Linked DNA regions of Schizosaccharomyces pombe. The protein of the gene in region 1 interacts with the protein of each later gene in a pairwise test. Each region holds a gene or a part of one and is shown on either strand. Other genes may lie near its edges. The genes, in order: plp1 and lsm2.

Region 1 (3,725 bases):
TGCCAAAAGATTGGGTTCGAGATGAGTTTTTTGATACTCTGAAAGAGAAAAAGAAGAGCTGTAAGGGTTTTTCTTTTGATGATCTACTACGCAGGGATTTAAAACAGTATTTTCCGGACGGAATAGTCGTCAATTATGCCAGTGTTGGAAAGGGATTAGATTGGATCAAGAAAAAACGTCTCGGATGGGAAGATGAATTGAAAAGTTTTGCCGAAGTGCAAAATTCTGATTTGGTAATTGTTGGGTTATCTCTGAGTAAGAACGACGAGTTTGGTCGTCAATTGATTTTATACAAGCGTACTGAAAGGGGAGCTGGTCTTGCCGATTCTTTCTTAAAACTTAGCAAACAAAATTTAGGATTAGAAATTATTGAAGAGAAAGATAATGGCGACCTCAGTATGTGGAATCAAAGAAATTCCGCTGCTAGCAGAAAGAAAGTAGTTCCCTTACTTATGGACTCAGTTAAACAAGTCGCTTCAAAATAGTTACTGCTTTAGACTCCATTGTGATTTCTGTTCTGTACATTTTACGATAGCTACACTCATCAGTAGGCTTATGATAGATTTTAAATTTTTTTAAAAGGATATATATTATACATCACATTGATCTAAATTTCTTACTTTGTAATCCCAAGATCCTTTTATTCAAAAAAATCACTGTCATCTGATTGATTATTTTGTAGTTCATCGTGGTAAATAGACTTGTTTGAAGAACTCTCTTCTTTTAATCGGTCGATTGCTGAACTCTTGAGCAACCGAAATTCTAGGAGTGAAGTTTCAAAATCATCTTTATTACCTAAATCAGCAAATCCGATAATCTTATCCACGAGCTGAGAATTTACGTAGCAAAGTACGGCTGGTAATACTTTGAGACCCAATTTGACTACCAAAAATGGAGCGTTGGCTGCTTCAATACGGATAAACTTAGTTTCCCAATGTACTTTGGCAATTTTCTGAGAATGTTAGCGTAAGCAATAAATGGAACTCCTCGTACCTCTAGATGAGAGTCTATAATTTTGCAACGTATAAAATCAGGGTGGTAAAAATGTATAACAACTTTTTTTGATGAACTAAAAAATAATTAGTTTAAAATAATCGAAGCTAATGTTTTGACATACAGCGTAAAATCCATAACTTCGCGCTCATTTTCTACAGTAAGAAACTGCATGTGTCCTTTTTCTTTTGCAGCTTCCACTCTAGCGAATCTGAACGGTTAAATTCTTAAAATCATTTTAAAGCTTTTTCTTACTCTTTTTTTAGCATCTCCAATCTCTGTTCTCGATAAGCAGTATCATCAAATTCATCCAACTGTGAAAAGAGCGCATCTTCCAATTCTGAATCACTTTCGGTTGCAGCTTGAGTAGCATACGTATCAGCGTAAAGATCAACTGTTGGGTCGTTACTAATGTCAACATTAGACATAATATGTACGCTACTGTAACCTACCTATTATGCAGTTCTGGTTCATTGTAATCCTGAGTATCCTCCTTTCTTTCAGTAACCTTCAAAGCTTCATACTCGTTGGCGATTTCCTTTTCCAAAGGAGATTTCATAGAAATCCAAGCAGGCTTGTTTTCTACAGGCTGAACGTTTGTCAAATCCATTTGATAACCACGTTTACGCGGCCCAAATCCATGGGATGCTGGAAAAGATGTCATATAAATTTCTTCAAATTTTCTAACATCTTCATCAAAGTTTCCCTCTTGTATGGAGGCGCGGATTCCTTGAAAAAAGGCAGTGAAGGCATAAACATTGTGTCTACAAATCGTTAGCTTTCTTTACCATGCTCTTTAATATAAACATACAGCTGTAAAAGTATCCAAGCAACTAGCTCTCTAGCCTGTAACAGATGCCTAACATAAGCGCGTTTGTATCTACGACATGTTTTGCAAACGCAGCCGGATTGCAATGGTTCCATGTCAGTAGCAAACCTTTCGTCCCACATATCCAAGCCAAGTTCAATTTTAGAATTCAACACATCTTTAGAAGGAGGCGGGAAAGAGAATGTAAGTGCAACACCAGCATCAGTAGCTTGTGTTATCATATCTGGAACAATAATGTCAATTCCTCTTTGAATGCATTTCAGAATTTCGAGTGGTGATTCAAATTTTTGAATACTCAGTCTTGGGAGACCAACCAAATCAGCTGGTAATGGATTGACATTGTTAGAAAATGCCAAGCCAGCAATGTTGTTAGCAAGTTGATTTTCTTGAAAAAACTGGAAAATAGGCGTAAGGTACTGAGTGTCCAGATCAGGAACAGGGAAAAATACTTTAGTAGTATTGAAAGCGTCCGTCGCTTTGAGTGCTAAAAGCAACTCAGTTGTCCAATTGACAGACCGTTCCACAATTTTTGGCTTCCTTTTGACACCAGGAGGACTAGTTGGGGTATCATTTAAAGGAATTACTAATTCAGGACAAAGCTTTAGGACAGCTTTAATATACAAGTCATTTGTCAGTTTCTTTGCACCACTTGCAGTAACGATATTAATATGACTTTGTCCTGCAGAAACAGATGGCAAAGGAGATGTTCTTCTTGGAGCAAGTAAAGTAGGTTGGACAGAGGGTGCTGCGATCCATTTTTTGATAGTTCCCTCATTAGTCAAGATTGGTGAGGCTTCCAGACGATCCAAGCTACAAACATATTAGTTAGAAATTCAAATTAAAAAAGATATGATAAAGCATTTGAGTCCTAAATTTAAACCTTACCAATCCTCCAACCCTACATAGAGAGCAGGAATATCGAATTCTTCAACATTGTCAGGTGTCAAATGAGGAACAGTTCCTCTGGAAGTAGGAAGGAAAAAGCAAGGAGTCTTCAGAACCTTGTTCTTCACCGTAACTGAAGATACGCGAGCCCCTGAAGGACTAGATAATGAAGAAATTGCCATCAATAAATCGCAAAATAAAGCTGCAAAAGTTTTGCTCTATTTACACATGTACGATATCAAAATAACGATGGTTCACTGTAGCACATTAAACGAATATTGCTATATGAATGTTTTTTAAATTTGAAAGATATTCAAACACAAAAGGTCGTCTAAACATTCGATTTATAATGTTGTAAAATAGCTTTGTTTGGATATCAGTAGTCTTACAAAACTGAAAGTTTTTAGTTAAGTAAAAAAAAAAATATCATTACATAAATTATAGTAAATTGTTTAGACTTTTTTTAAAGTTTTAAAGTAATAATAAAACATGCAAACAAGAAAGAAACAATGGAATAAAAACATTAATAACGGATAATTTTGCGACGGCGGAAGTCCTTTTCATCTGAAGCGATGTCATATAACGCTCTTCGTTTCATTTCTTTTTTCTCTTTTGTTCTTCGTTTCATTTGCTCCATCTCTTTCCTGGTATATCGCTTGTTTCTCCGTTCTGCCAGTAAACTTTGGCCATTGTGACTATTCAATGAAGAATTGATGTCAAAGTACTGTTCCATATGCTTATGTGCTTTGTTTTCTTCACTTCGCAACTCTGGTGAAGCCCATTTTGGCATAAACTTTCCAGATAGGCGATTGAACTGAACTTTCGCTGTGTAATCTAGGGGACTAGTCTGCTCTTCATCTTCTAACGGATTATTCCAGCTCGTCGTATTTGTTAAAGTGTCCCAAAAATAGTAAGCCTGTTGAGAAGGGTCCCAAATAGCGGCTATCCGATGACCCTCGGACCAAGCAATGGAAGGCTGTGCTTGGTTTTCATTTGTAGGGGAGTTAGAAGTATCATT
Region 2 (3,639 bases), on another chromosome or scaffold:
ATATTTTTAGCTAACGGATTTAAAATTGCTTTGTCTTTTGGTACACAACGAAACCTACGTGGACGGCTCTTGTCAAAGTAAATGGGATATAATATGATAGATGGCATGTGGATGGTGAGTGAGGTAGTTGGCAGCAAATGCGATATCATACTTATGCTGCTCAACCGTATGTAGTAGATAAATACGATTTTACTTTCAACTTACTACTGAACATTTCAATTATTTTTAAAAAGAAGACGTTTTTCATGATTAACTTAGAATAAAACTAAGAACACTAAAAAAGTAAAATCGTATCATTCACTGGGAAGATCTTAAAAGAATACAAAATATATTAAAAAAACGATGAAAGAGAGTGTGCCTGATTGGCTTAAAGGTGAGATCGGTTGAATCCTACAAATGAAATCAGTAAAATAAATTGGAAGAAGAATTAGACTTGTAAAACACAAATCTGAGTGGATATCTTTTAAAGTAATACAAACGCTCTGTTGCTAATGATGCATGAGTGCTAAAAATTCCCTCTCGCAGCAATAAACCGATATGTAACGATGTATGTATTTTATGATAATTGACAAAGTCTCATCAACTATATTAATGGAAGAAGCCGTACACAAAAATCATGTAAACGCCAACAATTTTCTACTTAATTTTTTTTTTTGAAGATAATAAAACGGTAATTTTAAGGGATCGGTTTCAGGCATAATAGGGAAGCTGGATTTAAAAGAAAAGCGAAAAGGTAGTAAGAATATGGATGAATGAAAGGGGAGGAAAATACCTTCAAACAACAATGGTCCTTAATAAAATGATGTATATACACATGTATATTCCTTTTGCGGGCATGAAAAAAATCGCAATGGGACACATGATGAATAACCGAACTACGATTAAATAAGCAATTAGTTCACGGTTTCCGAATATATTGACCAAAAAAAGGAAATTTTCAAAGGAATTATTGACGCTTATTATTAGCCAAGTCTAAAAACCAGTGAGTTAATAAGGCTAAAATTTCAGTGTTTAACAAATCATGGCTTACCTCTACGACAAGCATCAGCTAATAAAATAGTATCAACATATGCACTTGACATATGGACGTAACGAACAACGCTACCACGAATAAACAAATCTTTAACAGCAGCCTAATAAATTATTAGTTATAACTCTGGAATAATAGCACGAGATAGTGTTAAGAGTAGGAACGAAAAAAAAAGGATAGATCGAAGAATTCAGAAAGTGAGGCGCACTTTATGATCAGTCTTAAATTGTTCAATTAATGAAAAACCTAGATTTTAAAAGTTGAGAATGTAGCATATACGTTGGGAAAGCTGATTGATTCATGTTCCTCTCATGTAAGATGTTGTACATAATCGATTTGGACAAGACTTTTTTCAAAAATCAATCAAAAACCTAAATAAAATGAATAAACCGAACCCTACCGATCGTAGAAATCATTTATTTCTCTTTCAATTCCCGATAACTTGCAAAGCATACCATATGAGGATATTTCGACGCATCGACCACAGAAATATTTTCAAGCTTAACGTTTAAAAACTGGTCAACAGATTTCAAAATTCCTCGGATACTCATATCATTCTATAGTTTGGTTAACCTCATAACGCGATCAAAAAAGCCAAGTAGGGGCATACCTTCAATTCCACGGTAACTTCCGTGTCTATTAATGTCTTAAAAAATGAGTAAAACAACATTATAATCGGGAGAAGACTCGTTTTACACGCTTTTGGATGAAGTAAGAAAGATGCAGCGAACAGAAGAATGTGTCATGTACAGGCAAAGCCCATTTACACGGTATTGTGTTGGAGCTCGTACATTTTTTTGCGAGGATTTACGAAATCAAAAAATCATATTAAGGCTGTCACCGAGATTAGTTATGATACAGTACGTTGAGTGTCACTATATGTTCACATGTTCCATTTACATATCGCACCGCAGATGATACGATGTTGATATTAATTTTAACAATAATCTATTAAAATCCAAATCATCTAAACAACGTAAATAGAGTTACTGCTAAACCTCATTCCTTACACAATTATAAGTTGTATTTGCAATAGATAACAATACAACTTGATAGTACAATACCTAAACTCAGTTGCTACTTATAGTACCTGTGTATTGTAATATCATAGGTCACAAAGGAAAAATTACCGCAGTTCTATGTAATCGTTAAAGCAGATACCAAATTGCGTAGCTGACATTATATTATACTACAACGTTTTGCTTCTCAAAAACGTTTTAAGGAAATCTAAGTTGGGGTGAATAAAAAGGGCAGTGACAAAATAAATGTGTCAGAAGCAATTCACTGCCTCGTTCAGTTTTTTCGTTCTTCTTTTTTTATGCCATTGTTTGAAGGAATTAGTTGGAAATTTGTTTGAACAATTTTATTATTTTGTTAAAAAGTCTTTAAAGCGATTGGAATTGGACTACAGAGTGAATATTCTTGATTTTGCTGTTTCGTTTGTCGCAATCACAACAATTGAACTATTTGTGTGTATATCATTAAATAATAGACTGTCGTTAGAAAATGAAGAATAAATATTACCCCTTGAGGTCGTCTATGGATGAATTGAGTGCAAAAAACGATAATGAAATTGATTTGGAAAAAGGTCCTCTCCCAGAATACAATTCAGAAGATGGGAGCACATTGCCTCCATATTCAGGTAAGTGTTGTGTTGTTGGTAGATAAGATAAAGAATTGAGTGTGTCAAGGATTATTTGCTGTGTCTGTTTGTTTTGATTTACAATGTTTTTGTTGTGTTTGTTTGTTTACAACTTGACATATTACGAGTATAAATTCGTCTAACAGGGCACGCTCTTTTTTCCTTTCCCATTAAAAAATATTCTAAAGTTACCATTGAATTTTGCTAACAATATAGAAAATATAAATTTAAAGGATCCCAAACAAATGGGAGCTAACAACCCTAACTTATTTAATACGGACGAGTCTACGACTCCTCCGGATTATGGTGAAGACAGTCTTTCTATTACACATAGAGAAAACCATTCTTCCGGGACGGCAGATAATTCTTCTACCTCTCCGTTGAAAAAAGCATTTTTATCATTCATTTCAATCTTTGTGCTAAACGTACCCGCAGTTTGTTATCTAACGTATAAGGACGCTCTCTTTAAAGATTATGGCAAAGATGAATGGGTATATTTTGGAGTGTGGTGTGCTATTTGCCTAATGATTTTTATTTCTTTATGGTGTAAGTGACACGATAGGTCAATTCTTACCTTCAGTCACTAACTCATTAGACTTCTATGAAACTTGGATCAAGGCAGTCAAAGTAACTGTAATTTTCTTGGCACAATGTATAAAGGTGACTGTAGTTTTCTTGGCACAATGTGTAAAGGTGATCTCTATTGGCCTTTTCAACATAAGAAGAGAAATGATGATTATAATTTGGTTACTCTGGTTAATCATTTGTTGTATACTCTTTGGTTGCGTCAAATCTGGCGATCTGAACTTAAATAAGGCTCTCATCTATTCCACATGCACTATTTCGGCTGTTTTACTTTTAATTGTATCATCTGGTAAGTGAAGTTACAATGCTAAACGCTGACAAACAGTTTGTATTCCATTTTGGACATTCGAGCGTACGTTAGCTAAGTTGGCAAAAGTGTTTT

The links.
Region 2: the proteins of plp1 (region 1) and lsm2 interact in a two-hybrid assay, tested with the Schizosaccharomyces pombe proteins (one large-scale study listed by BioGRID).

Annotation. Positions count from the first base shown.
Region 1 is NC_003424.3:3,947,290-3,951,014, forward strand, and holds plp1 (thioredoxin domain-containing protein), read right to left. Parts: upstream 1,658-3,725; coding exon 1,446-1,657; exon of another isoform or gene 1,402-1,445; coding exon 1,249-1,401; exon of another isoform or gene 1,205-1,248; coding exon 1,118-1,204; intron 1,070-1,117; coding exon 994-1,069; intron 953-993; coding exon 641-952; 3' UTR 596-640; downstream 1-595. Other genes in the region: ppx1 (exopolyphosphatase), read left to right, coding at 1-485; qtr2 (queuine tRNA-ribosyltransferase accessory subunit Qtrtd1/Qtr2), read right to left, coding at 1,768-2,632, 2,708-2,889; splicing-associated factor Saf2, read right to left, coding at 3,231-3,725. UniProt on the Schizosaccharomyces pombe protein: Inhibits early G-protein signaling events following pheromone stimulation. May help create heterodimerizable beta-tubulin by facilitating the efficient transfer of nascent beta-tubulin polypeptides to the folding apparatus.
Region 2 is NC_003421.2:2,143,225-2,146,863, forward strand, and holds lsm2 (U6 snRNP-associated core protein), read right to left. Parts: upstream 1,762-3,639; 5' UTR 1,701-1,761; coding exon 1,641-1,700; intron 1,588-1,640; coding exon 1,486-1,587; intron 1,134-1,485; coding exon 1,031-1,133; intron 973-1,030; coding exon 947-972; 3' UTR 725-946; downstream 1-724. Other genes in the region: putative signal recognition particle subunit Sec65, read right to left, coding at 1-107; wtf meiotic drive antidote Wtf23, read left to right, coding at 2,537-2,672, 2,889-3,218, 3,268-3,546, 3,583-3,639. UniProt on the Schizosaccharomyces pombe protein: Component of LSm protein complexes, which are involved in RNA processing and may function in a chaperone-like manner. Component of the cytoplasmic LSM1-LSM7 complex which is involved in mRNA degradation by activating the decapping step.